7 linked regions of the Oryctolagus cuniculus genome follow. The protein of the gene in region 1 interacts with the protein of each later gene in a pairwise test. Links are inferred from orthologs where the notes say so. Each region holds a gene or a part of one and is shown in the gene's direction. Other genes may lie near its edges.

What was found.
Region 2: the proteins of TFIP11 (region 1) and SNX20 interact in binary tests that used the Homo sapiens proteins (3 or more experiments, as listed by UniProt). The two-hybrid records come from large-scale screens. The link is inferred for Oryctolagus cuniculus from reciprocal best matches to the Homo sapiens genes TFIP11 and SNX20.
Region 3: the proteins of TFIP11 (region 1) and ZC2HC1C interact in binary tests that used the Homo sapiens proteins (3 or more experiments, as listed by UniProt). The link is inferred for Oryctolagus cuniculus from reciprocal best matches to the Homo sapiens genes TFIP11 and ZC2HC1C.
Region 4: the proteins of TFIP11 (region 1) and GOLGA1 interact in binary tests that used the Homo sapiens proteins (3 or more experiments, as listed by UniProt). The two-hybrid records come from large-scale screens. The link is inferred for Oryctolagus cuniculus from reciprocal best matches to the Homo sapiens genes TFIP11 and GOLGA1.
Region 5: the proteins of TFIP11 (region 1) and SFR1 interact in binary tests that used the Homo sapiens proteins (3 or more experiments, as listed by UniProt). The two-hybrid records come from large-scale screens. The link is inferred for Oryctolagus cuniculus from reciprocal best matches to the Homo sapiens genes TFIP11 and SFR1.
Region 6: the proteins of TFIP11 (region 1) and RHNO1 interact in binary tests that used the Homo sapiens proteins (3 or more experiments, as listed by UniProt). The two-hybrid records come from large-scale screens. The link is inferred for Oryctolagus cuniculus from reciprocal best matches to the Homo sapiens genes TFIP11 and RHNO1.
Region 7: the proteins of TFIP11 (region 1) and myeloid zinc finger 1 interact in binary tests that used the Homo sapiens proteins (3 or more experiments, as listed by UniProt). The two-hybrid records come from large-scale screens. The link is inferred for Oryctolagus cuniculus from reciprocal best matches to the Homo sapiens genes TFIP11 and ZSCAN12.

The regions. Positions count from the first base shown.
Region 1 is NC_091452.1:20,273,462-20,276,961, reverse strand, and holds part of TFIP11 (tuftelin-interacting protein 11), read left to right. Parts: intron 1-1,144; coding exon 1,145-1,272; intron 1,273-2,494; coding exon 2,495-2,647; intron 2,648-3,500. UniProt on the Homo sapiens protein: Involved in pre-mRNA splicing, specifically in spliceosome disassembly during late-stage splicing events. Intron turnover seems to proceed through reactions in two lariat-intron associated complexes termed Intron Large (IL) and Intron Small (IS).
Region 2 is NC_091449.1:34,227,822-34,231,754, reverse strand, and holds the start of SNX20 (sorting nexin-20), read left to right. Parts: upstream 1-1,133; 5' UTR 1,134-1,356; intron 1,357-3,933.
Region 3 is NC_091451.1:21,123,553-21,127,820, forward strand, and holds the start of ZC2HC1C (zinc finger C2HC domain-containing protein 1C), read left to right. Parts: upstream 1-1,468; 5' UTR 1,469-1,657; intron 1,658-2,032; exon of another isoform or gene 2,033-2,170; intron 2,171-2,265; 5' UTR 2,266-2,284; coding exon 2,285-3,604; intron 3,605-4,268. Other genes in the region: ACYP1 (acylphosphatase-1), read right to left, coding at 1,090-1,252.
Region 4 is NC_091432.1:228,794,056-228,798,194, reverse strand, and holds the start of GOLGA1 (golgin subfamily A member 1), read left to right. Parts: upstream 1-1,339; 5' UTR 1,340-1,476; exon of another isoform or gene 1,477-1,539; intron 1,540-1,550; exon of another isoform or gene 1,551-2,310; intron 2,311-3,218; 5' UTR 3,219-3,307; coding exon 3,308-3,442; intron 3,443-4,139. UniProt on the Homo sapiens protein: Involved in vesicular trafficking at the Golgi apparatus level. Involved in endosome-to-Golgi trafficking. Mechanistically, captures transport vesicles arriving from endosomes via the protein TBC1D23.
Region 5 is NC_091446.1:25,895,582-25,899,565, reverse strand, and holds the start of SFR1 (swi5-dependent recombination DNA repair protein 1 homolog), read left to right. Parts: upstream 1-1,184; 5' UTR 1,185-1,962; coding exon 1,963-2,050; intron 2,051-2,056; exon of another isoform or gene 2,057-2,514; coding exon of another isoform or gene 2,515-2,545; intron 2,546-2,713; coding exon 2,714-2,835; intron 2,836-3,373; coding exon 3,374-3,784; intron 3,785-3,984. UniProt on the Homo sapiens protein: Component of the SWI5-SFR1 complex, a complex required for double-strand break repair via homologous recombination. Acts as a transcriptional modulator for ESR1.
Region 6 is NC_091440.1:106,439,325-106,442,824, reverse strand, and holds part of RHNO1 (RAD9, HUS1, RAD1-interacting nuclear orphan protein 1), read left to right. Parts: intron 1-2,490; 5' UTR 2,491-2,574; coding exon 2,575-2,742; intron 2,743-3,500. UniProt on the Homo sapiens protein: Involved in microhomology-mediated end-joining (MMEJ) DNA repair by promoting recruitment of polymerase theta (POLQ) to DNA damage sites during mitosis.
Region 7 is NC_091449.1:72,640-76,568, forward strand, and holds the start of myeloid zinc finger 1, read left to right. Parts: upstream 1-1,129; 5' UTR 1,130-1,291; coding exon 1,292-1,377; intron 1,378-1,726; exon of another isoform or gene 1,727-1,893; intron 1,894-3,929. UniProt on the Homo sapiens protein: May be involved in transcriptional regulation.

The DNA.
Region 1 (3,500 bases):
TAGCACAGGTGCGCAGCCCACCCCACTGCGACATAGTCTGTAGCACAGGTGCACAGCCCACCCCACTGTGACGCAGCCCCTGTCGCACGTTCGCATTTCCTGGGTTGCACAACCACCCTAGTAAGCAGTTGGATTCTTCCTGCAAGAACTTTTCCCCGGGCAGTGACCGAGGGTGTAATTAAGAGTGAAGCCTGTGGTTCCAATTCCAGTCTCTTTTTAGTAGTTGGCGTAAATCTGTGTTGTGTTGAGAACACGAGCATGAGTGAGGCAGGGCTGGTGACCGGGAGGAAGAGTGAGACTTCCCCAGCGCTAGGTGGGAAGCAGGGAGGGGAGCAGTTTTTGAAAAGTTGTAATCCTGTCTAAATCCTTTTATGAGAGAAACAACCTGCACGAGTATTTCTGGGGCTTCAGTGTGTTTCTGAAAAGCTCAGTGTGGGGACATCAGCTAAGAAGTGCAGCAGGGGCGGCGTCTTGTGCCGCATCTTGGGCTGCCGTTGTGGGGCAGGGGTAAGCCTCTGCTTGCAACACTGGCATCCCACGTGTCCTGGCTGCTCCACTTCCAGCCCAGCTCTCTGCCAATGTGCCTGGGAAAGCTGCAAAAGGTGACCCAAGTCCCTGGGCCCCTGCTGCCATCCACGTGCGAGACCCAGGTGGAGTTTCAGGCTCCTGGCCTTGGCCTGGCCCTGTCTTAGCCGTCGCAGCCAACTGGGGAGGAAGCCAGTGGATGGAAGATGTGTCATTCTCTGTCTTTCACATAAATAAACGCCACATCTCCATGAAGTGCACCTGTACTTCAGAGTCCGTGGGTACATGTTGTCTGAATCCCTGCACTTTGCCTGATGGAAGCTTCCAGAGGAGTGAAGCGGGGAATCGAGTGTGCCGGCGCTCTCTGTGATAAGTGATTTGTGCTTTCTCCCATCCACGGTGCAAGCCTCTGGTTGGGACATGAGTTACGTGAGGTCAGCAGGCTGTTGTGTGATCACATAAGTGCTGGACGTTTCCAATGGCCTGGGCCTGGGCAGGGCAGGGCTCTCCTTGCTGGGGACCGTGCTGCCTGTTGAGGGCAAGGCTGCTTGACATCCCCGAGTGGTTTATTCACATGAATTGCTGCCGTCTGAGCTCTCTGTCTTCTGACAATCGACAGGCATCATAAACCCCATCGAAGCCAAACAGAGGAAGGGCAAGGGAGCCGTGGGGGCCTACGGCTCGGAGCGGACCACGCAGTCCCTGCAGGACTTCCCCGTGGTGGACTCGGAAGAAGAAGCCGAGGAGGTGAGTGGAAGGCAGGCCTCGGTGTCCTGTGCCGTGGCGGGCGGCCGACTGCTCCTGCGTTCTGTCAGGCCTCGTGCTGTCCGGGCTGGGCTTCGAGCCCGTTGGATGGAGACACACAGTAAGCCAGCAGCTCCACGTGCTTAGGGATGCAGGCTGTGCTGGAGACGAGGAGGTGACAGGAGGGGCAGGGAAGGGGCGTGGCCCAAGTGTAAGGCACAGGCTGGGACGGAAGTGATCTCTGATCTCAGGAAGGAAGGAGTCCCACTGAGATGTGGCTCAGGGAGGGGTGGGGCGGGGGTTGGAGGCGTTTGGGTTTCACCCAGAGTGCAGGAGGAGCCACCTGCTGGCAGCTGTGCTGCTGACAGAAGGGGTGGGGCGGCTCTCCACAGAGAGCGGGAAGGCAGGCGCCGCAGGGGAGCGCCTCGCTCGTGTCGTCACCAGCCTCCTCGTGAGCAAGGACACGCTGGACAGTGTGGAAGTGACAGGTCTGAGTCGGGCTCTCAGGCTTCAGAGCTGACGGGCGTGCACGCCACGAGCCAGGTGCCAGGCTGTAGGGGGTGGTGGGGACTCGGGCACACAGCTGAGGACGTAACTTGTGGAAAGCCGCTGTTCGTGTTCGGCGCTAGGCACTTGTTGCCATGACAACACGAGCTTGGGATTGCCTGATCTGATTCCCCCAAAGCCAGCAGACGTCCAGATAGTGTCTGAGAAAATAAATTATGTGTGTAAACCAGTGTGAGAAAAGTGGAGGGACAGCCACACCGTCAACTTCTGAGGGCTGCGCCGTGCCATCCTCAGGCCGGCTTGCTTCCTCACTTCTCTTCAGATCTCCCTGCAGAGGGGTTTTATACACCCGAGTGTCAAGTGGATCCTCACCTTGAGACTTGTTTATCATTTTAATCAGAACCGAGGCTTGGGGTACTCCTGAAGTCCTTCCTGTTGCATTTCTGAGTTTCGCACGCGCTCAGTTTCACACCAGCAGAGCCTGCCCACAGTGATGCCCAGCGGGGTGGCCTTATCTCTGGATCTCCCAGCAGCACGGGGCTGCTGCCCCGCCTTCCGAGCCTCATTGTCTGTAAGAGGCTGGGTGGCTGCAGCGTCACAGCCTTGGTGTGGAGTTGGGGTGAACGTGAGAGGCTGCCCTGTGGTGTCAGTGGTCTTCGTCCCACAGGCTGTGGGAAGTGCTGTTTCCTGTGTGACCAGTGGTTTCCCTGGGGTTTAGGAGTTTCAGAAGGAGCTGAGCCAGTGGAGGAAAGACCCCAGCGGAAGCAAGAAGAAGCCCAAATACTCCTATAAGACGGTGGAAGAGCTGAAGGCCAAGGGCAGGGTCAGCAAGAAACTCAGTGCTCCCCAGAAGGAGATTTCGCAGGTCAAGGTACGGGGCTCCGGACATCGGGTTCAGGAACCACAGAAAGCAGTCCCACAGCCCAGAGGCCGCCCCTCACTGCCTATCCCTGAGCTTCCTGGGGGCTTCAGGGCCTCGTGCGTGGAGAGGGCAGCGCTCCTACTGTGGCCCATGACAGTGCCACGCTGCTCTCGTTACTCTAGGTTTAGTATGATCATCCAGTTACACTCCGTCAGTTGTTCCTCACGGCAAGGGGTGATGACCTTGGTCACATCCCCATCACAGCAGTGGTGACCCAGGTCACATCCTCGTCATACACAGTGGTGGTGACCTTGGTCACACTCCCATCACACACAGTGGTGGTGACCTTGGTCACACTCCCATCACACACAGTGGGGTGACCCAGGTCACGCCCCCGTCACACATAGTAGAGGTGACCCAGGTCACGCCCCCGTCACAGTGGTGGTGACCTTGGTCACGGCCCCATCACACACAGTGGTGGTGACCTTGGTCACGGCCCCCTCACACACAGTGGTGGTGACCTTGGTCACGGCCCCATCACACACAGTGGTGGTCACCCACGTCATGCCCCCATCACATACAGCGGTGGTGACCCAGGTCACGCCCCCAACACACAGTGGTGGTGACCCAGGTCATGCCCCCAACACACAGTGGTGGTCACCCACGTCATGCCCCCATCACATAAAGCGGTGGTGACCCAGGTCACACCCCCAACACACAGAGGTGGTGACCCAGGTCACGCCCCCGTCACACCCAGTGCTTCCCCAGGGTGTGCATTAGCTGGAAGCTAGAATTAGAATCAGAACCTGGACTTGAACTCAGACACTCTAGGAGATGAGGGTGTCCCAGGTAGCAGTTGAAC
Region 2 (3,933 bases), on another chromosome or scaffold:
CTGGAGGAAGCTCCAGGCTCCTGGCTTTGGATCGGTGCAGCTCCAGCCATTGCAGCCAGTTGGGGAGTGAATCAGTGGATGATGGAAGACTCTCTCTCTCTGCCTCTCTTCTCTCTGTGTAACTCCGACTTTCAAATAAATAAATAAATCTTTTTTAAAAAATGAGTATAATGAAATTATGTTGTTTGGGGATGTACTTTAGGTGGTAAATTTATGAAGAAAAGCAAAGAAGCAACTCCCATGAGAATCAGGACTACTTCTAACGGGGAGAAAGAATCAGCTGGGAAGAGATCCATGCGCATTTCTCGGGGAGAGGGACTGCGAGGTTCTGTTTTTGTTGTCCTGTCCCAGCCTCCTTGCCCTCAAGGCCATAAGCCCCAGTGGCTGTGAGCCACACCACAGCATCCCTGGCACTTCTGTCAGTGATACTGGACGCAGCTCTGTCCAAGAAAAGGCACTGGATAGAGCTGTGAGGCCTCCCATTGCTCTTCCGTGTCTGGCACTGGCTCTGCATCCAACCAGCTCCAGGCTCTAGACCTCAGTTTTCCCATCTGTTAGTGGGGCATGAGGGCCCTCCTTATACCTAGCTCAGAGAATAGGATAATGAATGTTGAGGGGCGCTATGGTTTAGATGTGTGCCCCAAATTCCTGTGTTGGGAGCTTGGTCCTCAGGGAGATGGTGTTGGAGGGTGGGGCTAACGACAGGCAGCTGTGGTGAGGGCGGAGCCTGCGTGAATGGGTTCATGTCGCTGTTAGGGAGCGGGGTCATCCTCGAGAAGAGTGGGCTAGGCTGGTGACAAGTTGGCCCCCTCTTGTGTGCACTGGCTTGAGCTTTTACCTGCTGCTCTCCGGCGACACAGCACCGAGGCCTCTGCCGGTCGTCACTCTCGGTGTTGTAGCCTCCAGAACTGGGAGCCAAGCCAACTTCCTTCACTACCAACGACCAGTCTGCGGGATTGTTACAGCAACAGAAAACGGACCAGGACAATAGGTGCCGGGAGCTACAGACCCAGAGCCCAGGGAACACCCAGGACTCAAGGGCAAGGCAACAGGGAAAAGGAAGCTGAGCTAGACACCACCCCCTCCCTGCCACCCCAACCCAGGGCTGGCCCTGCCCACCGCCCTGCCCTGCCTTGCGTGCAGCTGGCTGTCAGTCAGTGGGGTTCCGGGCACTGTCTGTCACCAGCCAATGAGTGGGGGCGACCAGGAGCAGGCCACACAGCCTATTTCCTGTTTTCAAACGGGGAACTTAACCAAGCCTGCAGCCACCCAACTGACTACTCGGAACCGAGAGCTCAGAGTGCCATGTGACACCGCCCTGGACCCCTGGACACACACAGGGCCCACAGGCCTCAGGTCAGTGTTGGATCCCAAACTTGATTGGTCTCTGCCCACTGTGGCCTGACTCTCCTCTTCCTGTGACTTGTTTGAGGCTGGGTGGGATGGAGAAGTCAGCCTCTGGGGGAGGGGTTCTCCTTAGCACCTCAAGGCAGAACCCGGGCCAGCTTTCCAATCCTCTATCACCCCAAGGCCAGACACCTGTACAACTCCTCTTGGGCCTGGGGTCGCCACACCTGTGTTTCTCAAATAGTGGTACCCTTGTGGACTTGTGCAAAATGCAGGTGCCAGGGCCCTCTACAACCTGTTAGATGGGAAATCTGCTTTTGAACAAGCCCCGGCACTCCCACCCCGGCCCAGCCCACCTCCCCAGGTGACTCTGATGCACACTCGCATTTGAGAACCCGTGCCCTTGGCAAGGCTGTGCAGGTGAGCAGCTAGGGATCCGGCAGTACCCACCCTTCCCTAGCCAGAGGCTACGGCATAGCCAAGGTCCTGGAATCTTCTCACACAGAAAGCAGGCTGGGAACATTACTCCACCTCACTGGAGCCTCATCTCTGGTGACAAGCCCTTGGCTGTCCCCTTGGAAAAGGCACCTGGACTCTGTGGGGGTAGCCCTGGGAGTCCATCAGAGGAAGGACTGGGCATGGCAGAAATGTCTCTTGAAGAGGAGGTATGGCCAGGGCACCTGGGAGACAAGGAGAAAAAGGACTCCATTCACACAGACCTGGGTGGGAGAGCTGGGAAGCTGCTCTGTAGCCAGGGCCAAGTGCAGGCCCCAGGCCAACAGCACAGACACCTGCAGTGTCTGCTTGCAGAGCCCAGACATCTCGGCCATACAGAGTAGGGAGGGAAGGGCCCACAGGCCTCCTGCAAGCCGTTCCCAATGAGTGGCAAGAGCAACAGGAGTGCGTTCCCATTTCTCAGAGAAGGAAACTTAGGTCAAGAGAGGGCTAGGAAGCTGCCCGCAACCCCTCACAGGTACCCATTCACAGGTGACGTCCAGCCCGTCTCACGAGAGAAAGCACAGGGGAGCTGGATGTGGCTGCTGTATTTGGTTTTTATTCTCGGCCCTGGCTTCATGATCAATTTTCCCAGGTCTTCATAGAGTGTCCAGGCAAAGGATCATATCTGGGGCCTTCCACAGGCTCTGGGCACACAGTGCCCTGCTTCTGACATGACATCAGCTGCCTGATCACGAAGCAGAGCTGAAAGGGCGGATCACAGAGGCCAGTGCCACTCAGATCACCCATTTCACAGATGGGCTGGCTGAGGCAGGTACATAAGAGTACATACAGGAGGCCAGCACCGCAGCTCAATAGGCTAATCCTCCGCCTGCGGCGCCGGCACACCGGGTTCTAGTCCCAGTCGGGGCACCGGATTCTGTCCCGGTTGCTCCTCTTCCAGTCCAGCTCTCTGCTGTGGCCCGGGAGTGCAGTGGAGGATGGCCCAAGTGCTTGGGCCCTGCACCCCATGGGAGACCAGGAGAAGCACCTGGCTCCTGGCTTCGGATCAGCGCGGTGCACCGGCCGCAGCGCGCTGGCCGAAGCGGCCATTGAGGGGTGAACCAACAGCAAAAGGAAGACCTTTCTCTCTGTCTCTCTCTCTCTCACTGTCCACTCTGCCTGTCAAAAAAAAAAAAAAAAAGTACATACAGGAAACACTGGGATCCAAGAACCCCAGACATCAAGAGTGCATGTGGCACACTCGCTATCTCACTTGGACACTTCCCAGAATGCTGTAGGGTCCCCAAACCTGGCCATGCACAGAGGGTGAGCAGGACAGGGCTGTGGGCACACTTGTCAGGCATGGAAACAAAGGCCAGGTGACAGGAAGCCATGTGGGTGAGGACCCAAGACTGGTCAGGGAGGAAGCTGTCTCCCAACTCCATGGGGAGGGCTGGGAGGTCCTTGACATACTCAACCTTGTGCAGCATCTGCCGGCCAGGCCCCAGCTCTGTGCCTGCTTGCCTGACTTAGAAAAGGGGAGGTTGGATTGAAGGTCCTGGGGTCACCCCGTGGCCAGCTGCACAGGGTCAGCTAGAGAATCCCCAGGCTTCCTTTCACCTGACACAGCAAGAGCTGTCCCCTAAGGATGGACCCCAGGCCCTGGCTGACTGCACCTCTCCCCAGCCAGGCTGTCAGAGTTGGGGACAGGCTCTGGCCACACCCAAGAATGCAGCAGGGAGTGATGTCAGAGCAGCAATGGCCCCACCTCTCTCTAAGCCACAGTCAGCCTAGTGGTTCAGACCCAGGGCCTGGACCCCAACAGACTAGAATTCAAGTCCCAACTCTAAGGCTCAGTTTCTTTACCATAAAACATAGATAAAAACAGCCCCTGCCACAGACAGTGGTCAGATCAATGAGCGAGCAGGTGCTGAACACAGAGTGTGCAACACCACACACATTTAGGACGAATTCAGCTTTGCTCCTTGGGCACTCTTACCAGTCACCTAACCATAGATTAGACTTCAGTTTCCTCATCGGTTATGTGGTGCTATTGATGGATTCTTGTACCTGTTAAGGAAGATGGGGGATATGAAGAAGCTAGGTGGGTATGAAGTTAGTATGAGTCATTTGGAAACTTTTGCTGAT
Region 3 (4,268 bases), on another chromosome or scaffold:
AAGAAGAGAAATGAATGAGGGGCGGATACCAGAGGCAGCAGATCAGGAGAAATGAGGTTTGTTTTGCAGGGGAAGGTCAGGCGTTTTTCAGAGTAGGGAGATGCACAAGTTGAAGTTATGAAGACAGAAGTGGGAACAATGACCGAGTCAGCTCCTGGAGGGTACTGAAAGGCACCAATTCAAGAAAGAGAGAGACCCTTCTTCCTGCGGAACAAAAGGAAGGAAGTCAGGAGAGAGGGAGGCGCCCTGGGAAAGTCAGCCAGGCTGGAGAGAAACTGTGGGAGTTGATTAAGGCGAGGTCAGAGGCTGACCTAACTGCGAAATGTCTGGAGCTGCGGAACTTTAACAAGTTTGTGGAAAAACGGAATTAAAAAAGATTGTTTGTTTTGGTCCAAAATATACATGCATAGTTTTTTCATAATACACCTTTCCTAGAACTTTTTGAAGGCCTCTGGTATGCACAGATCTCAGTTATTTTTTGCAGTGGAATAAACTTCTCTTTTAAATCTATTTCCCATAAACTTTTGGAAGTCCCCTTGTATACTAAGGCAGTCTAGTCCACTAGGAATGAAAACAAGGAATAAAAGACTGCCCTGGAGGGGCCCACCAAAGAGTTTCTTTGTGCCGTGTACAAGCTGTAATAGGATCTGTGGAAGCGTTAACGCTGACTACTGCTGTCTACATTATTTTCCATGTGCATGAATCCTTTGAGTAGTTACAGGGAAAAAAACGAGCTGCCTGTTCCAAACAGCTTACACAAATGAACTGAAGCACGAAGAAGACAAATAAACTGTCTTCTGATGTCAACAAGTCACAGACCATCATTCAGTGTTGAAACTAGGTTATACTGATTATTTTCAATCTGTTATGCTAACTTTATTATCATCACATTTGGCTGAGTCATTCCCAGGTCCTAAGCAGAGATGGTCCGGGTCACCACGTGACAGCAAAACATCACAATATCAAAATAATTAGGTTGGCCACGAAATCTACCCCGGAAAGATACTGCGTAGCAAAAAAAAAAAAAAAAAAAAAAAAAAGGCAAGCTCCAGTTTGGCAAGGCAAAGCACGGAAAGATAGCAGCCATACCTGGGGCCCGTACAGAGCTGCCGAGCGTGCTAACAAGGGCTATCAGCAGGCCCACTCCCGCTAACCGGGCGGACGCCGGGATCTTGCGGTGGGATGACTCCGGGGCACATGGCGGGGCTCCACCCTTTGCCAGGGACGGGCACACCCCGGGGCCTGGGAGCATGCTTCTCAGAAAAATACAAGTTCTCCTTTGATGGCGCCCCAGAAAAGCCTCTCCCACCTCCTCCCCCGTTCCCCAAGGGCAGGGCTGAACTGAGCTGCAGAGTTGGCTGGACACTGGGTCAAGTGACAACAACTCGGGCTGACCGCACCCCGCCTCCCACTCTCAACACCCTCCCCCCGCCATCCGCCCGCCCAGGAAGACGCGCGGACTGCGCCTGCGCGTGCCTCTGCGGCGGCGATCTGCGAGAGGCGGGGCTCGGCGCGCGAGGCGCTTTCGTCTCCAGGCAACGGGAATCGCCGAGGCCCGCGGAGAGCGCCTGCGCTGACGTCGGTTGGGGGCGGCCGGGTCTGGAAAGCCAGGTCCTGGGGTTTCCCCTGAGCCGCCGCGGTGCCCCCAGAGCCGGAGGTACGCAGAAGGGCGGGGAGACGTGGGGTGAACACCTCGACCTCCCGAGGGCCCGAGGAGCAGGAGAGCGAGGGCTTGTCCCCAGAAACCCCCGCCTTAGTGGGGGCGCCCGGGTTGACTGGCACCGGACGGAACTTCCGGGTTCCAGATCTGAAAGGGGCTCAGGTAGCCCCTTTCTTCGCAGGTTAGCGGCCTCCGGCGTCTGCGCCACGGTGACTCTTTGAACGGGGTTGGCTTGGTTTTGTCACCTGTAAGATGGTGGGCCTGGAGTGAACCCTTCAGTTCACAGGTGGAGAGACTGTGTTCCCCAAGCCTAACACCTCTCCCTCCATCCAGCGCTGGCTTCGCCTGCTGGCGGGCGAGTAGAGTGCAGATGGCGGGGGCTGGTACCGGGTCACTGTGTCTTTCCACCCTCGGGACCTAACAGAGCGGGTGGTCACCACTCACTGCGAATGCGCATTGGAGAGCTCTGGCACACCCAGCGCCATGTCCCTAGCGAAGCTGGAGGGAAATGTGAGTAGGGCAGATGTAGCAACAGTTTACTTTAGCAGCCGGGGGTGAGCCTCAGACAAACTCAGCACATGGATCTGGTTTGACTCTCCCCGTAGGCTTCCATCCAGGCCCTGAATGGCTGACCTCCAGTTGGCTCCATATCTGCCTGTGGGCGTTATGTTCCCACATAATAAAACAGAGGCTGCGGGGCTCCACTCCGCCCGGCGAGACCCTTATGAACAAGGTGACACCGCGCAGCCGTCCTCTGTGGGGCATCGGAGGAACAATGTCCGGGAGAGGCTTTTGAGCAGCAGAGAGCTGACGCGGGAGAACGTCTACACCCCGCCCAACCAGAACACGCGCTCCAAAGCCGGGGGCAGCTCCCCTAGCTGTGCTGATGCTGAGTCAGGCAGCGGGCCCCAGGGCCAAGGACAAGGTTGGTTCGCTGCATCGGGCCCTCCGTCCTGGCATCCCAAAGCAAATAACCCATACTTAGGTCCCTTCACAAAGAAGGGAGTTGGGGTGGATCGGGCGTACCCGCTGAAACCCATGGTCCACCGGAAGTCTCGCAGTACAGGGCAGGCTGGCCCCGCTGGGAACCAGAGTGTCTACGTGAGCGCCTCTGAGCCGAGAGAGCTTCCACACAGCAACTTCACGCCAAGGAGCACGGTGAACCCCTCTGTGGTTGGTGCCGTCCTTGCCGCCATGCAGGGCGAGAGGGCCGTGGCAAACCTCACCAGGTCTGAGTGGGTGCAGATCCAGAGACTGGAAGCCCTGGGGGAGAGCTTAGAGGAGGAAATCCGGAGAAAGGAGATCGTCCTGCGGAACAAGCTGAAGAGGACGGAGGAGGAGCTCAGGAGGATCCAGAGGGGCAAGGAGGAGGCCGAGGGGAACGCACACAGAGCGCTCCGGAGAATGGCTCTCTCCCGGGGGAGAGCGGACGGTGGTGCCAGCCACCCCGCGTGCAAGCCCGTCTTCCCCCCAGGATTTAGGTCCAAGGAGGCGCCCAGGAGTGACAGAAGAGAGGATGGAACTTGGAGGCGGTCTCGAGAAAATGCTGGTCTATGCCAGTTCTCTGATCATGGAGTCCAGGAGCTGGAAAGGGAGAGGCTGGCGGCAAACAGTAACAAAATCAAAGATGGGGTCTCGGGGCCATCCACGGAGAAGGTCTCTCAGTCTTCGGAAGCGCCGGACGGTGCTTTCCAGGGGCTCGGTACGGATTCCGGCCTGTGCAGGGCACCGGGCTCTTCGGGTTCCAGCTGTTCTGAAGAGCCGGAACTGGGCCAGTGCAGCCACTGTGGACGCACGTTTCTCCTGCTGAGGCTGGAGCGACACTCCAACGTCTGCAGCAGGGTGCAGGGCTCCAGGAGGAAGGTGTTTGACTCCTCCAGGGCCCGGGCCAAGGGCACAGAACTGGAGCAGTACTTGAACTGGAAGGGGCCAGCCTCGGTCAAGGTAACAAGGGCCGTGTGGATTTGACTTTGTGTGGAGAATGTTGTAAGGGCCTCTGGTGTCCTCACCAGCTTTCTTTAGGGAACATGGGTTATGTAAAAAAAAAAAAAAAAAAAAAGATGAAAAAGAACATTGGTTTTTATAAAGATTTGATTTCTTATTTACTTGAAGGTCAGAGTTACACAGAGAGGAGGAGAGGCAGAGAGAGAGAGAGAGGTCTTCCATCCGCTGGTTCACTCCCCAGTTGGCTGCAACGGCCGGAGCTGTGCCAATCCGAAGCTCGGAGCCAGGAGCTTCTTCCCGGTTTCCCACATGGGTGCAGGTGCCCAAGGACTTGGGCCATCTTCTACTGCTTTCCCAGGCCATAGCAGAGAGTTGGATCGGAAGTGGAGCAGCCGGGACTTGAACCAGCGCCCATATGGGATGCCAGCACTGCAGGTGGTGGCTTTACCTGCTACGCCACGGTGCCAGGCCCATGAACATTTTTTTTTTAAAGATTTATTTATTTATTCAAAAGAGTTACACAGAGAGAGAGAGAGGTCTTCCATCTGATGGTTCACTCCCCAATTGGCCCCAATGGCCGGAGCTGTGCTGATCCAAAGCCAGGAGCCAGGAGCTTCTTCCAGGTCTGCCACATGGTTGCAGGGGCCCAAGCACTTGTGCCGTC
Region 4 (4,139 bases), on another chromosome or scaffold:
TCATCACACTTGACTCTTGTATGATACGTGATTTGTCATAAAAGATAGCAAGCCTTTCACTACTTCACTGAGTAAACACTGTGATTCTGCAGAGCGGATTCAGTGGGCTTTCTAGTATTTTCTTCTGTTATACGGTGCCCACCACCTTAGGGCACTAAAATACTAGCGGATGGAAAGTTAAACACTATTGTTTTGATGTTTATGAATAATAAGATTACAGAGTATTCGATTTTTGTTGTCAGTATATTAAAGCAATTTTTGCATTGATAAATGTTCTCTAGGAATGTGACTGCATACATCAGGTGTGAACTCTTGTAAATGAATTTTGTATCTTGATCCACATATATATTAAGTGTATCATCAATATAAAAATAAACATTATTTGCTTAAACTTTTTGGTACTTCAGAACTGCTGACGGTTTAAGAGGTAAGCTGTTAGGGTTTGCCTCCTTCAGCTGGCACCCCAGATGCTGCCAACTGTTTGGGGTTTGCAGATTCGAGGCTTCTTACTCTAGCTGGTATATCTCTTTAGAGCCCTGGGCTTCACACACCCCCACCCCCACCCCACCCCCGCCTTTCTCCTGGTGGTCAGACTGGAAGAATCAGGTGCACTGGCTGGCGGTGGGGCTGGGGCAGGATTCGACACCTGACCTAGGATACTGATGGGCACTGTGGCCACGCACAAGGCACTTGCACCCTTTAGACTTTCCTCACGTGTTAAAAGGAGGCGGCCCATCAGTAGTGGATACTGAGATTAATACAGCGGGCTGCCCCCAGCGGATTTTTCAAACGCCAACCAGATCCGAGTACTTTCAGAACAAGGGCAGAGTTCTGGAAGCTTCTCCCAGGTGCCGTTTACACGTGTGCTGGGTTGCGATGGAAAAGGTAGCACCTACAGTTAAGGCACAGACAACAAAAGTTGAAACGCCACTCACATCGCCAAGATCCCAGAACTAGTCTCTGCAGCCCCAGGGTTCCCGGGATCACCCAGACACAGTGACCAGGCAGCTGCGCGGCGCGCGGCGGGGCTGGCGCCAGGCGGCCATGGCCCGGGGTTTCCATCCAGCCCGCGGCACACAGCGGGTCTTCCCTTTGCCACGAGGCTCCTCCCACTTCCTCGACTCTACACCAACCCCGTTCACAAAGACAGGTGAAACGACGCATTTGTCACCCACGGGGCTGGCCGGCCGCTGACGTGGCGAGTCCGCCTGAGGGAGCGCCAGGCCCGGCGCCCGCGCCCTCCAGGCGTTCCGGCCCAACCGCCGCCCCAGAGCTCGCGCGCGCGCCGCGGAGGGCACGCGGGCGCATGCGCGCGGCGGCCCAGCCCCGCGCGCAGCCACTTCCGGCGCGCCGGGGGACGTGCGGTTCCGGGTCGCTGCTCCGGCTCCGCGGCTGGCGGTGGGGGCTGGTGACGCTGGTCGGCGCTCGCGAGAGGCCCCGGAGGCGGTGCTCTGCCGGGTGCCCACAGAGCGGCAGGTGCGCGACCCGAAGCTCCGGGGATTGGAGCCGCCCCTCGCCCCCATTCTCCCGGTGTCCTCGGTCTGTCCCCAAGCGCCCCGGACGGGGTTGCCCGAGACCCTAGGCGGGGGGCGGTACCTGGGGACTGGGAGGGCGAGGATGGGGGCGGAGGCGGGCTGCCCCGGCCTGGGGGGCTGGCGCCTCGGGTCCTGAGATTCCTCCCTGCGCGACCTTGGACACGTCCCTCCTCGCCAGTGGGCTTCAGTTTCCCTGCTTCCAGATGAGAGAGACGTCGGCTGCTAGCCCTGGCAGTGGGAGCACCGGCGGGGCTGGCGGGGGCTGAGGGAGTGGGCTCCCAACTGCCTGGCAGCGCCCTGCCCGCCATCCTGGGCGTCAGCATCTTCTTTCTTTTAAAAAAAAAATTTTTTTTTTAAACCTAACTTTGCCGTCCTTCCTCTCAGCGACTGTCTTAGGCGTCCGTGACCAGACAGCCCAGGGTCTGGCCAGGTAAACAGTGTGTGAGGGCCAGAATCAGCTGAGAGCTAAGCCGGCTCTGGAAAACCGGAACTCGCGTTGCAGTTTGGCTCAGGGCTGCCTAGAAGTGAATTTAGACACTGACTGCGTTGAGCGACTCCAGCTCTAGGGAGATTCCAGACTGTAGGAGACCAGCGTGAGCGAGGGGAGCCCGCCTGGAGTCGGGCAGTGACAGGTTTTCCCTCCCCGACTTAATTCTTCCCTTGCACTCATCTCCCACCACCGCCCCCCAAGATTCTGGCTTTGTACTTGAAACATACCCAACGTGTTTCATCTTGGTCTTCGTGAGAGCTTTGACCTGCCGGCCGTCTTAACCGGGTGAGTAAGGACATTGCAGGGAGAGCTTCCGATGAACTGTAGGGGTTTCACAGGTGATCCCAGGCGGTAAGAGTCATTTGTAGGTCTTAGAGCAGAGCTTGAACAGCGTCCACAGGCCGTGGAAAGTTAAGGCTGGACCCAGAACAGCCATGCTTCAGACCGTGTTGGAAGGAAAAGGTGCTTGGATATCATGTGAAACACTGAGAAGGAAAACTGTGATTTGAGGTCATTTTTTCAGACTCAAACCACACATTTCCAGGAACAGTTTAAGAATGATCATAGTAGAATCTTCTGGCTTGCTTGGTTTTTTTTTTTTTAAGTGATGAGCTTTCTGCAGACCACAGGGAACATAAAATGTTACATCTTTTCCTCTTACTGAGTTACATATGTTTTCTGCCTTCATCTTAAAAAAAACACACACACACACACACACGCTAGTTAAGCTTATTATTACAGGAAGGATTCAGAAGCGTTCAGTCATGCTTATATGATGTTAGTGTTTGACCTGGGAACTTTTACTAAATGTGTCATATGCCATAGCCACTATGGTCTAATTAAGAAGAACAAAAGTAGGGCCTGTGAGTCAGAGTTCGGTGCCCAGATCCCAGCCCTGCCGCTTAGCCACACAGTCTTTGATAGGTTGCTTCACCTTGAGGCTGGATTTCCTCATCTGTGTGTCCATATAGAAAGCAGCCAGGGCCTTTTAAAGGTTTAGTAATTATGTTCTGTTACCTTTACGTGTAAGTTATGAAACTTCATTTTGAAACCTAAAGCTTAAGGCAGGGGATCTTTCCAGTGTTATCTTACAGATATCGCTTCCATCTAGTTTATAGATACTATGTTGCCATAAGCCCTTGGCCCACATTTATGTGGGAAGGCAGCTAGCTGGGATGTCTGAAACTTTTTAGGCACCTGTGTCTGGACCCTGGCCACTGACCTAAGGACTACTGCAGTGAGGCAGGAACCGGCCGCGGTGCAGGGAAGCCACACAGCAGCAATGTTCGCAAAGCTGAAGAAGAAGATTGCAGAAGAGAGTGCTGGCGCTCAGAGGCCTGGAGGTGCCGCTAGGATTCCACGGTCCGTGAGCAAGGAGTCGGTCGCCTCCATGGGCGCTGACTCAGGAGACGACTTTGTGAGTATCTTCTTTAGTTTTTAATAATATTTGGTGCAGACTCAATTTTTTAAGAAAAATAATATTCCAGGGATTCCTTTTTTTTTTTTTTTAAGATTTTATTTATTTGAAAGAGTTAAAGAGCAAAGTAGAGCCAGAGAGAGAGAGAGAGAGAGAGAGGGAGGTCTTTCATCCACTGGTTCACTCCCCAAATGACCACAATGGCCAGAGCTGAGCTGATCCGAAGCCAGGAGCTTCTTCTGGGTCTCCCATGCGCGTACAGGGGTCCAAGGACTTGGGCCGTCCTCTGCTGCTTTCCCAGGCCCTAGCTGGATTGGGAGTGGAGCAGCCGGGACTCGAACCAACACCCATATAGGATGCTGGCGCTGCAGGCTGCGGCTTTAGCCCGCTGTGCCACAGCACCTGCCCCGGGATTCCTTTTTATACGTACTTTAAAATTGCATGATTATTTCATATCTTTTGTAGTTTGTAGTTGCACAAGACCCCTGCACATCTTCTTCCTACTCTGAGATGCCTTTTTGCTAATGTTTGGTTGTTATTGTTAAAATGCTCTATTGTTTTTCCTTATCTTTTATGAGTTCCTTTCCGTATTATCTACATTGCCTATATAGTATTTTTCCACCTATATACCTCATGTATCTTCCTTTACATTTATCCGTCAAAATGTTGGGGCCTGTTTTATCTGCAGACACAGATA
Region 5 (3,984 bases), on another chromosome or scaffold:
AGGACAAATCATTCTGTTCTGTTTTGCAGTGAGACTAATTGGTGCCAGTGGATAAGTGAAGGGAGAAATAATTGCACAGACTTGAGACCTGTAGCTTGGGGGGATGAATAACTGTATCACAACAGCATGAGTTCTTGCTTTCACTTTGTACATTTATATAATTTTTAAAGATTTTTATTTATTTGAAAGAGTTAGAGAGAGAAGGAGAAGCAGAGAGAGAGAGAGGGCGAGAGCGAGTTCTTCCATCTGCTGGTTCACTCCCCAATTGCCAATTGGCTGCAATGGTCAGAGCTGCACCGGTCGGAAGCCAGGAGCCAGGAGCTCCTTCCAGGTCTCCCAAGTGGTGCAGGGGCCCAAGGACTTGGGCCATCTTCCACTGCTTTTCCAGGCCACAGCAGACAGCTGGATCTGCAGTGGAGTGTCCGGGACTCGAACCAGTGCCCATATGGGATGCCGGCATTGCAGACAGCGGCTTTACCCATACGCCACAGTACCAGCCCCTATTTATATAATTTTTGAAAAATTTAGAGGTATAACATACTATAAATTATATGTGCAAGTTTTCTACTTATGGTTTAAATCGTGTGGGATCTTACAGATCACGGCATCTTTATTTTTTAAATCTCTGTTTTGGGGGGCAGAGTTAAGTAAAGGGATGAAAGTTCACGTAACGCAGTCCTTTAAATCAGTTTGGGGATGGTTAATTAATGCATTTGCACGTATGAAAGAACAGTGAGCGCTTCTTAGTTACCTGGCACTGCTGTGGCTGCCTCTCCTGAGCTCCCATTTAATCCTCCAGTCTCTAGGAGGCAGGAATTGTCCCGATTTTCAGATCAGGAAACCGAGGCACACGGACACCACAGTAGAAAGCACACAGAATACAGCGCCGGGATGTGGAGTTCGACAATGTGACTTGGGCGGTTACGTCCGCTAATCACTGCATTAGATTGTCTTTGGGCTCTTTATTTATACTTGGCTTGCTTAGGATTCAAATTTCCTTTTGGCTATTTCCGGGCCATTTTTATCACGTCGTTGAGACGGTGTCACCGTTTACAACGGCCCTTCCGTAAGAGGACTGAGCGCACCGCCCGGACACTTCCCGGATTCCACGTGAGTCAGAAGTCGCTCAGCGCCGCGCCGGCTCGGCTGCCCCACCCGGAGCGGCGGGCGCCGTTGCCTAGCAACAGCCGCGCCACACCGGAAGCCGAGGGGGTTTTCGGCCTGCGCTCGGCCGCGGCCACTTCTGTCTGAAGCGTCGGAGTTCTGGATAGGGCATTGCGCTTCCTGTACTGCGCCACAAGTGGCGCTGGCCTTCCTCTCCCTTCATATTTGAATTTAAAAAAACTTGGAAAACCGAGTTTGTGGCAGCAGAGGGCTAGGGATCCGCTCGGCCGACTGTGTCGGCACCCCTGGGTCGATTTCTCTCAAGCCTGTTCCCCAAGGGCTGGAACCCAACGCTGCTCTTCCGTGGTCTTGAGAGTTGTGACTTGAGTTCCTAGCCAGCCGGGCGGCGTTCGGCCCCGCCACGTCTGAAAACAGTCTTTGCTGAGGTGAGCGCAGACCAGACGGGCTGGAGCCTGGAGAACGGAAGCTGGGGACACAAGCGAGCGCACTTCACAGACGCACAGAAACAAGGAAGCGGGAAGGGCCGCCGCGGACGCCAGCGCGCCCCCTCAGGATCCATGAGTTACTCCCGAAGCTCTCAGCCCGACTCCGGAGCCAGACCGGACGCCGGGCGGGGCGAGGCAGCGCGTTCCCGTCAACCTTGCCAATCACGCGACTCGGCCCCGCCCCGCCACATGACCTTCCCTGGCGGAAGCTCGCGGTCGCGCGCTCTAGGGGTCTCCGGACACGCGGATTCGCGCGCATCAATCTAGCCAATCAGGAGTCTCTTCCGCTCCCGTGCGGCCCCGCCCCTTGGAGCTGCATCGGCTGACGGCCGCGGCTCCGCGCGGTGTTTGAATGCTGTGGGGTTGGCGGAGGGCGGTAGCGTGCTTCGGCCCAGGGGGGTGTCTGAGTGCTGGGCTTCGGGGGCTTGCTGAAAAGCCAGGTAGAGGTTCCTTTCCGCAGTCGGGGGCCCTCGACCCTCCCTCAGGCCTGGGGTGTCTGGAGGGCCGGCGGGCTCCCTGCATGGGGGAAAGGGGAGTGGCCGCCTCTCTGGTTCTACCCCACCGAGTTGGAAGGGACAGCTTCAGTCGACTTCCCTCTTCAGTGTCTGTTCGCTTTTACTCTGAAAGTGCAGACAGGCGTGATTTTTTTTTTTCTTTATATTTTCTTGTTTCTTAACGCCTGGTTCTAGTCAAGCGGCTTTTAGGGTTCGGGATGATTGACAAGTTCAGGTCCGATTATGCCTTTTGAGCCCACTTAGGCCATGTCTCTTAATTATGAAGCTGTCACAACGAAAGAATCACTATCTAAAGTTGTTATTCTCCCTTGCCCCCGTAATGGAGACTTGGAAGATACTTCATGGCTAACAAGTCTCGTTTCTATGAGATACTAGTAGGTTAATTTGTCATGAAAAAACTAGTTGTCCTTGTGTGGGAAGGTAAGTGAAAAACTCCAAAAATAGCGAGAATTAACTAACAAATTAGAAGAAAAAACAAAAAACAAAAAACTGCTGGCCCAATAAAGAAATACTTGGATAAAAATGGAGGACTTTAGAAAGGTATGGTTATTTTGAGTCCCATTTCATAATTACTTTTTCTGGTTCTAGAGGTAACCCAAGATTTCATTTTCAAGATGGAAAGCCCATCAGACTCAGCGGTGATTGCACCTAGCACCCCACAGGCCTGTGCGAATCCGCCATCTTCCCTTGCAAGGAGCTCAGGAAAACAAGTACGGAGATCTTATTCAGTCTTAAGTATCGGCGGGGTTTAACTCCAAAGATTGTTCATTAACGTGCAGATATTTTGTTAAATAGTCATTTAGTTTCTTCTAAGATACAGTGTGTGACCAGCCCCTTCCAGATTTGCATACTGAGCCAATTCATTTAGTTTCGGATTAGATTATTGCAACACTCCAAAGTGAGGAAGTCTGGATCTGCGGTATTATCACGGTGAAGGACTTTGGTGGCAGTGGGTCTTTCCTCAGTCTGCTATCCTATAGCATCTGGTGTAGCAGGAGGTATGGGCTAGATGCTGAGAGAAGTTTGATTATTGGGATGACTTTAGAAGGGTGTTGACCTGGCTGAGGTAGAGAGGAAAATTAATGGAACTTCTGGAAATTAAAGACATTTTGTGATGGTTACTTTAGATATGTGGAGACAGAAAGCCCCCTAGTGGTGTCTACTATAGAAATGTAAGGCTTTTATTTCTAGCACATTTCTTTACATGAAGACTTGGTTAACATTTTTAATATTTTGTTCTCCTTTCAGCCTATGAGTGCAACACTTAGAGAAAGATTAAGGAAAACAAGATTTTCATTTAATTCCTGTTACAGTGTGGTAAAACGTCTTAAAGTTGACAATGAAGAAAATGATCAGAACTTGTCAGAGAAGCCACCCTCTGCCACAGAAGAAAACTGTTTGGAATTTCAAGAAAGTTTTAAACGCATAGACAGTGAACTTGAAGAAAGTACGCATTTGAAAAATACATTCCAGAACGTCAGTGCATGTGAAGCTACCTCACTTGATACAGGGTCATGCAGTGTTCTCCAAAATGACTTCATGAAGGAGAATCTTCCTATACAAGGACTGAAGGAAGAAAGAGCAAAATTGGTGAAGCAGGTTCAGGAAAAAGAGGACCTTCTTCGGAGGCTAAAATTAGTCAAAATGTATAGATCGAAGGTAAGAGGAATTTTTAACAATTTTTTTTAAGATTTATTTTATTTATTTGAAAGAGTTACAGAGAGGTAGAGACAGAGAGAGAAAGGTCTGCCATTGCTGGTTCACTCCCCAGATGTCCGCAACGGCCAGAGCTGCGCCAATCCGAAACCAGGAGCCAGGAGCTTCCTTGGGGTCTCCCACGTGGGTGCAGGGGTCCAAGG
Region 6 (3,500 bases), on another chromosome or scaffold:
AAACCAGTGCCCATATGGGATGCTTGCATTGCAGGCAGTGGCCTAACCTGTGCCACAGCGCCGCCCCCAGCCCCCATATATACTTCATTAAACTTCATATAGTTGTGTTAATGAGAATGATATAATGGCTGAGAATATATCCTTTGGGGCCAGCATTGTGGTGTAGTGAGTAAAGTCATTGCCTGCAATGCCAGCATCCCATATGGGCGCCCGTTTATGTCCTAGCTGCTCCACTGCCGATTCAGCTCCTTGCTAATAACCTAGGGAAAGCAGCAGAAGATGGGGCCGGTGCTGTGGCGCAGTGAGTTAAACTGTTGCCTGTAGTGCCTGTAGCACCAGTATCCAATGTGAGCGCTGGTTCGAGTCCCGGCTGCTCCACTTCTTTTTTTTTTTTTTTTTTTTTTGACAGAGTGGACAGTGAGAGAGAGAGAGACAGAGAGAAAGGTCTTCCTTTGCCTTTGGTTCACCCTCCAATGGCTGCCGCGGCCAGCACGCTGCGGCCACCGCACCGCACTGATCCGAAGCCAGGAGCCAGGTGCTTATCCTGGTCTCCCATGGGGTGCAGGGCCCAAGCACTTGGGCCATCCTCCACTGCACTCCCGGGCCACAGCAGAGAGCTGACCTGGAAGAAGGGAAACTGGGACAGAATCCAGTGCCCCGACTGGGACTAGAACCCGGTGTGACGGCGCCGCAGGTGGAGGATTAGCCTATTGAGCCACGGCGCTGGCCTGCACCACTTCTGATCCAGCTCCCTGCTAACGCCCCTGGGAAAGAAGCAGAAGATGGCCCAAGTATTTGGGCCCCTGCATACATGTGGGAGACTCAGAGGAGGCTCCTGTTTCCTACTTTGGCCTGGTCCAGCCCTGGCTGTGGCCATCTGGGGAATAAACCAGCAAATGGAAGACCTCTGTGTGTGTGTGTGTGTGTGTGTGTGTCTCCCTCTCTATGTAGCTTATGTACCTCTTTTTTTTTTTCTTAAGATTTTATGTATTTGAGAAGTAGAGTTATAGACAGAGAGGGAGAGACAGAGAAAAAGGCTTCAATGTGCTAGTTTATTCTCTAAATGGCCACAACAGCCAGAGCTGGGCCGTTCTGAGGCCAGGAGCTTGGAGTTTCTTTCAGGTCTCCCATGTGGGTATAGGGGCCCAAAGATTTGGGCCATATTCTACTGCTTTCTCAGGCCATCGCAGAGATGTGGATTGGAAGATGGGCATCTGAGATTCGAACCAGTGCCCACATGGGATGCCAGTGCTGCAGGCGGAGGCTTAGCCTACTGTGCCATGGTGTTGGCCTCTCTACGTAGTTCTTTCAACAAATACATATAAGATTTATTTATTTATTTATCTGAAAGGCAGCATTACCTGTGGCCATCTAGGAAGTAAACCAGCAAATGGAAGACCTCTCGCTCTGCCTCGGCCTCTCTGTAACTCTTTCCAGGTCTCCCACGTGGGTATAGAGGCCCACGGGCTTGGACCATCTTCACTGCTTTCCCAGGCCATTGCAGAGAGCTGGATCGGAAGTGGAGCAGCTGAATTTGAACCGGCGCCCTTATGGGATGCCAGCACTGCAGGCGGCGGCTTTACCTACTGCACCACAGTGCCAGCCCCCAACAAATATATATTTTTAAAAAACATTCTAAATAATCCAGGGGTAAGGGGAATGGGTGGGGTGTGCATGGGTCAGGATTGGTCATGGGCTGATGGTTATTGGAGCTGGGTGAAGGGTACATTGGGGGGTACTATATTATTCATCTACTTTTGTATATGTTCTAAATTATCTGGGGTGAAAATTTAAAAAGTAACCAAATACAATGCTATTTTTCTGAAATTTTTCTGAAATTCTTCAGTAACTACTCAGGCTAAAACGCAGACTCCTGCGGCCTCGCCTGGTTTATCTAACCTAACCCTCACACCGTGTCCAGCCCCGGTTCTTCCCCCTCATCTTTCCCTCCTCAGCGTGGCTGGTGGCTCTGTGCTGCCTGAGTTCGCAGTACTGCCTTTATGCATGCTGTCCCTCAGGCTGGAGTGCCTCCCCGCTTTTTGCTTTTTTTTTTTTTTTTTTTTTTTTTTGCTTCTCTTACGTTTTGCGTACCTATGTCAAGGAAGTGCCTTCCCATCAGGAAAGCCTCCCTTAAGGTGTTTGGAAGCATATTGTATTGTCATATTGTATTGTATTTGTCTGTCTCTGCTAAACTTTTTAGCTTCCTGAAGACAGGGACCTCTGCATCACAAGTGCCTGGTGCTCAGTGAGTGATTATTGGACAAATGGTTATTATTTGTCTTTAGATTTCCAGCATGGCACTTCACACATGGTCAGCACATGCTTATGGAACAGGTGCTGTTGAATAGGAAAACTGGTTTTGCTTGGTGGTACAGGGTAGGCAAAGCCTTGAGGTAGGGAAGGGAGTTCATGGTACACTTGGCTGGCAGCGTATCAGAGAGAGCCGGGCGTCGTCTGAATTTTCTCTCAGCGTTGGTTTGCTCTCTGCAGGCATGGGTTGGAACTGGAGCCTGTCCCCCAACCCGAAGGCAACCAGCATCATGTGCTTGCTAACTGCTCTTCATCCACCTATTGATGCCTCCCAGAAAAAAACGCCAGCAGCGGTGCCAGAAAGCCCAGCTGCTCTTCCACCAGGAACCACTGGAGGGACCCAAGCACCACTCTGGATCTCCTCAGCCTCCCACCACCCACACCGTGCAGGTGCCCAGCAAGCCGATTGACCACAGCACCATCACTTCCTGGGTAGGCCTGTGAGGTTCTTTGCCTTTTGCTCCATTAGAATTCTGTCTTTTCTCCCCCTGCGACCAGGACCCCCAAAGACTAAGAAGATTCATGGGTATAGGAACAAGGAGGCAATGTACTGTGTGATCAGCTGTTTTCTGGTATATCTTTTTTTTTTTTTTTTTTTTTTTTTTTTTTTTTTTTTTAGATTTATTTTATTTCTTTGAAAGGCAGAGTTAGAGATAGGGACACACACACACACACACATCTTCCATCTGCTGGTTCACTCCCCAAACAGCTGCAACAACACCAGAGCTGGGCCAAACTGAAGCCAGGAGCCAGGAGCTTCCTCCAGGTCTCCCATGTGGGTGCCGGGGCCCAACCACCTGTGTATTCCCAGCTGCATTAGCAGGCAGCTGGATTGGAAGTAGGGTAGCTGGGAATCGAAACAGTGCCCACTTGGATGCTGGCACGGTCATCCACTACGCACGCCACAGCACCAGCCCTCACCTGCTATGCCACAGCACCAGCCCTCTGCTTTATATCTTCCGTCTCAGTCCAGACTAAGGAATGGGTTAGGTGTAATGGTTGTTTCTTTGTCCCACCCCCACCCCTCATCGTGCATGTTCCTCTGAAAGAGTTTATGTTAAAAATTCAGGCCGGCGCCGTGGCTCACTTGGCTAATACTCTACCTGTGGCGCCGGCATCCCAGGTTCTAGTCCCGGTTGGGGCGCCGGATTCTGTCCAGGTTGCTCCTCTTCCAGTCCAGCTCTCTGCTG
Region 7 (3,929 bases), on another chromosome or scaffold:
CTCTCTGTCTGTTGCTCCACCTTTCCTTTTTCTTTATTTTTTTTAAGATTTATTTGAAAGAGTTACACAGAGAAAGGAGAGGTGAGAGAGACAGAGAGAGAGGTCTTCTATCTGATGGTTCACTCCCCAAATGTCCACAATGGCTGGAGCTAGGCAGAACTGAAAAGTGCAAGGCCAGACAAAGAGCTGCTTGTTGACCTACAGGACGACACACTGGACAGAAAGCATGCGCACCCCATCAGCGTTTCACGAGTTAGCATCTAACTGCACAGCATCTGGACTCAGACCAAAACCAGCCATCTTCTTGTCTCACTGTCAAGAGTCGCTCAAGTTTTCCTGCGACTCTTTATGTCTTCTTCCCATCACTTTTCTCTGAGTCTTTTAAATCTGTCGGTCCTTTTCCCCCTTGTTACCTGTACACCTGCTGGTCCCTTGAGTCTCAGTGTCTGCACTTCCTGTCTCTGAGCATCCACTCTCCTTCTCCATCCTTTCCTGACCTCTCTCCCTCTTGCTAGCTGTTCTAGCACAGCTGTCTTCTCTCTCCCGCTCGATTCTAACTCCCTCTAGTGAGAGTTGAAATCCCTCTTTCAGACACGTCTCTGACCACCTATCCTCACATCAAGTCTCTGCCCCTGGCAGGCTCCGGAAGTCTCCCCTCTGCTCTCTCTTCTCCCTCTCTCGGCATCTCTCTGCCCTATTCCCTTCTTGTGCACACCCTCATCCCACCTCCCCCATTGCCTTTCTTTTCTTTTGTTTCCTAAGATCTATTTATTTGAAAGACAGAGGGAGACAGAGGGAGATCTTCCATCAGCAGGTTCACTCCCCCGGATGGCATGGTCACAACAGGCTGAAGCCGGAGGACCAGAACTCCATCCAGGTCTCCGGCATCACGTGGGTGCAGGTGCCCACGGACTTGGGGCATCTTCTACTGCTCTCCCAGGCCACAGCAGAGAGCAGGATCGGAAGTGGAGCAGCCGGGACTGGAACCGGCGCCCATCGGCAGGACTTTACCCACTAGCTACAGCGCCAGCCCCCACCACTGCCTTTCAAACGCCTGCCCGGCTGCCTGGCCAGGTCCAGAGCGGTCACCAGGTTACCATGGAGACCCCCCGGTCCCGCCCCGCGCAGGCGCAAGTGGGGGGCCGTACCGACGGCCTCTCCCGGAAAGCGGAGCCAAAGCGCCCGTCCCGACAGGGGTTGCCATGGAGACGCAAGCTCTCGGCGTCCCGGGGAGGGCTGTGATTGGCGCAGACTCCTGCGGTGGAGACCTGAACGAGGCGCGGTAGGGGACATGCGCGGTCTGGAAGGCGGTCCTGCGGTCCACCGCCCCTCGGGAAGTCTGCGCTCGCCGACAAGGGCCGGACGCCTGGATTCGAGGCAGGCAGCGTGGGAAGAAGCGGCCGGGAGTGCGAGCTCATAGCGACCACCGCCACCCTCAGGGGCCGGGGTGGGAGGCGGGCAGAAACGGAGGCGGCGGGCGCGGGGGGAGGGCGGGGAGACGCCGGGCTGGGGCGCGAAGCATCCTGGGAGACGTAGTCTGGCCGGGGTGGAGGCTCGGCCAGCGCGCATGCTCACGAGCGCGGAGCGGCCCGCGGGGCGCAGGAGGGCTCGGCGGTTGTGGTTGGGTCCCTACCGCCCGGCGTTGCCGGGAGCGCGGGACCGGGTCCCGTCAGTCAGCACTCGCTGCCAGGGCGGCGGGCTGTGCTGCCAGGGCGCCGCCGGCACCCGACGTGGCGTGCTGGACTCTGGGAGATGTAGTTCTGGACCTTCGCAGGGACTCGCCGGCTCGGCGGCGACCCACATTTCCCCCAGGGTTTCAGCTGGGCTGGGAGCTCGAGGAGCAGAATTCTGACTCAAGCGCTCAGGTAGCCCTCGGGGTTGATGCCACCAAAGGTACGTGGGCGGTGGCTGTGGCACCACCCTCAGTAAGCAGATTCGTGCACAATCCCCAGCTGCGGGAGCGTTGTGAGCAGGGCGGTAAGCCCCGTTTGCAGATGAGCGGACAAGATCGCAGACGTGTGGAATCAGAATCTTGGACCGTCATTGCTGGTCCTGGTCCGGCGGTCTTGGGCCATTTGTAGGCCTCTGGAAGCTGCTTCCTCACCCCCCAGCCCCACCTGAATCAGACAGTCGTAGAGATGGAGCATCGTGTGGTGTGATAAGTTGGGTTCAGGGGACGGGACCAAGTAAGGGAAGCTGGGCCACACGAGTTATTTTGCACGGTTGAGATGCGGGATGAGGCTGGGAGGGAGCAGTAGGTGGTACAGGTGCTGGGAGGGAGTGGGCAGCAGGTGGTGCAGGTGTGGGAGGGAGTGGGCAGCAGGTGGTGCAGGTGTGGGAGGGAGTGGGCAGTAGGTGGTACAGGTGCTGGGAGGGAGTGGGCAGCAGGTGGTGCAGGTGCTGGGAGGGAGTGGGCAGTAGGTGGTACAGGTGCTGGGAGGGAGTGGGCAGTAGGTGGTGCAGGTGTGGGAGGGAGTGGGCAGTAGGTGGTGCAGGTGTGGGAGGGAGTGGGCAGCAGGTGGTGCAGGTGTGGGAGGGAGTGGGCAGTAGGTGGTGCAGGTGTGGGAGGGAGTGGGCAGTAGGTGGTGCAGGTGTGGGAGGGAGTGGGCAGTAGGTGGTACAGGTGTGGGAGGGAGTGGGCAGCAAGTGGTGCAGGTGTGGGAGGGAGTGGGCAGCAGGTGGTGCAGGTGTGGGAGGGAGTGGGCAGTAGGTGGTGTAGGTGCTGGGAGGGAGTGGGCAGTAGGTGGTGCAGGTGTGGGAGGGAGTGGGCAGTAGGTGGTACAGGTGTGGGAGGGAGTGGGCAGCAGGTGGTGCAGGTGTGGGAGGGAGTGGGCAGCAGGTGGTGCAGGTGTGGGAGGGAGTGGGCAGTAGGTGGTGCAGGTGTGGGAGGGAGTGGGCAGTAGGTGGTACAGGTGTGGGAGGGAGTGGGCAGCAGGTGGTGCAGGTGCGGGAGGGAGTGGGCAGTAGGTGGTGCAGGTGCGGGAGGGAGTGGGCAGCAGGTGGTGCAGGTGTGGGAGGGAGTGGGCAGCAGGTGGTGCAGGTGTGGGAGGGAGTGGGCAGCAGGTGGTGCAGGTGTGGGAGGGAGTGGGCAGCAGGTGGTGCAGGTGTGGGAGGGAGTGGGCAGCAGGTGGTGCAGGTGTGGGAGGGAGTGGGCAGCAGGTGGTACAGGTGTGGGAGGGAGTGGGCAGCAGGTGGTACAGGTGTGGGAGGGAGTGGGCAGCAGGTGGTGCAGGTGTGGGAGGGAGTGGGCAGTAGGTGGTGCAGGTGTGGGAGGGAGTGGGCAGCAGGTGGTGCAGGTGTGGGAGGGAGTGGGCAGCAGGTGGTGCAGGTGTGGGAGGGAGTGGGCAGCAGGTGGTACAGGTATGGGAGGGAGTGGGCAGTAGGTGGTGCAGGTGTGGGAGGGAGTGGGCAGCAGGTGGTGCAGGTGTGGGAGGGAGTGGGCAGCAGTTGTACAGGTGCGGGAGGGAGTGGGCAGCAGGTGGTGCAGGTGCTGGGAGGGAGTGGGCAGTAGGTGGTGCAGGTGTGGGAGGGAGTGGGCAGTAGGTGGTGCAGGTGTGGGAGGGAGTGGGCAGCAGGTGGTGCAGGTGCTGGTCCCCAGGCAGCAGGTGGTGCAGGTGCTGGTCCCCAGGCAGCAGGTGGTGCAGGTGCTGGTCCCCAGGCAGCAGGTGGTGCAGGTGTGGGAGGGAGTGGGTAGCAGGTGGTGCAGGTGTGGGAGGGAGTGGGCAGCAGGTGGTGCAGGTGCTGGTCCCCAGGCAGCAGGTGGTGCAGGTGCTGGTCCCCAGGCAGCAGGTGGTGCAGGTGCTGGTCCCCAGGCAGCAGGTGGTGCAGGTGTGGGAGGGAGTGGGCAGCAGGTGGTGCAGGTGTGGGAGGGAGTGGGCAGTAGGTGGTGCAGGTGCGGGAGGGAGTGGGTAGCAGGTGGTGCAGGTGCG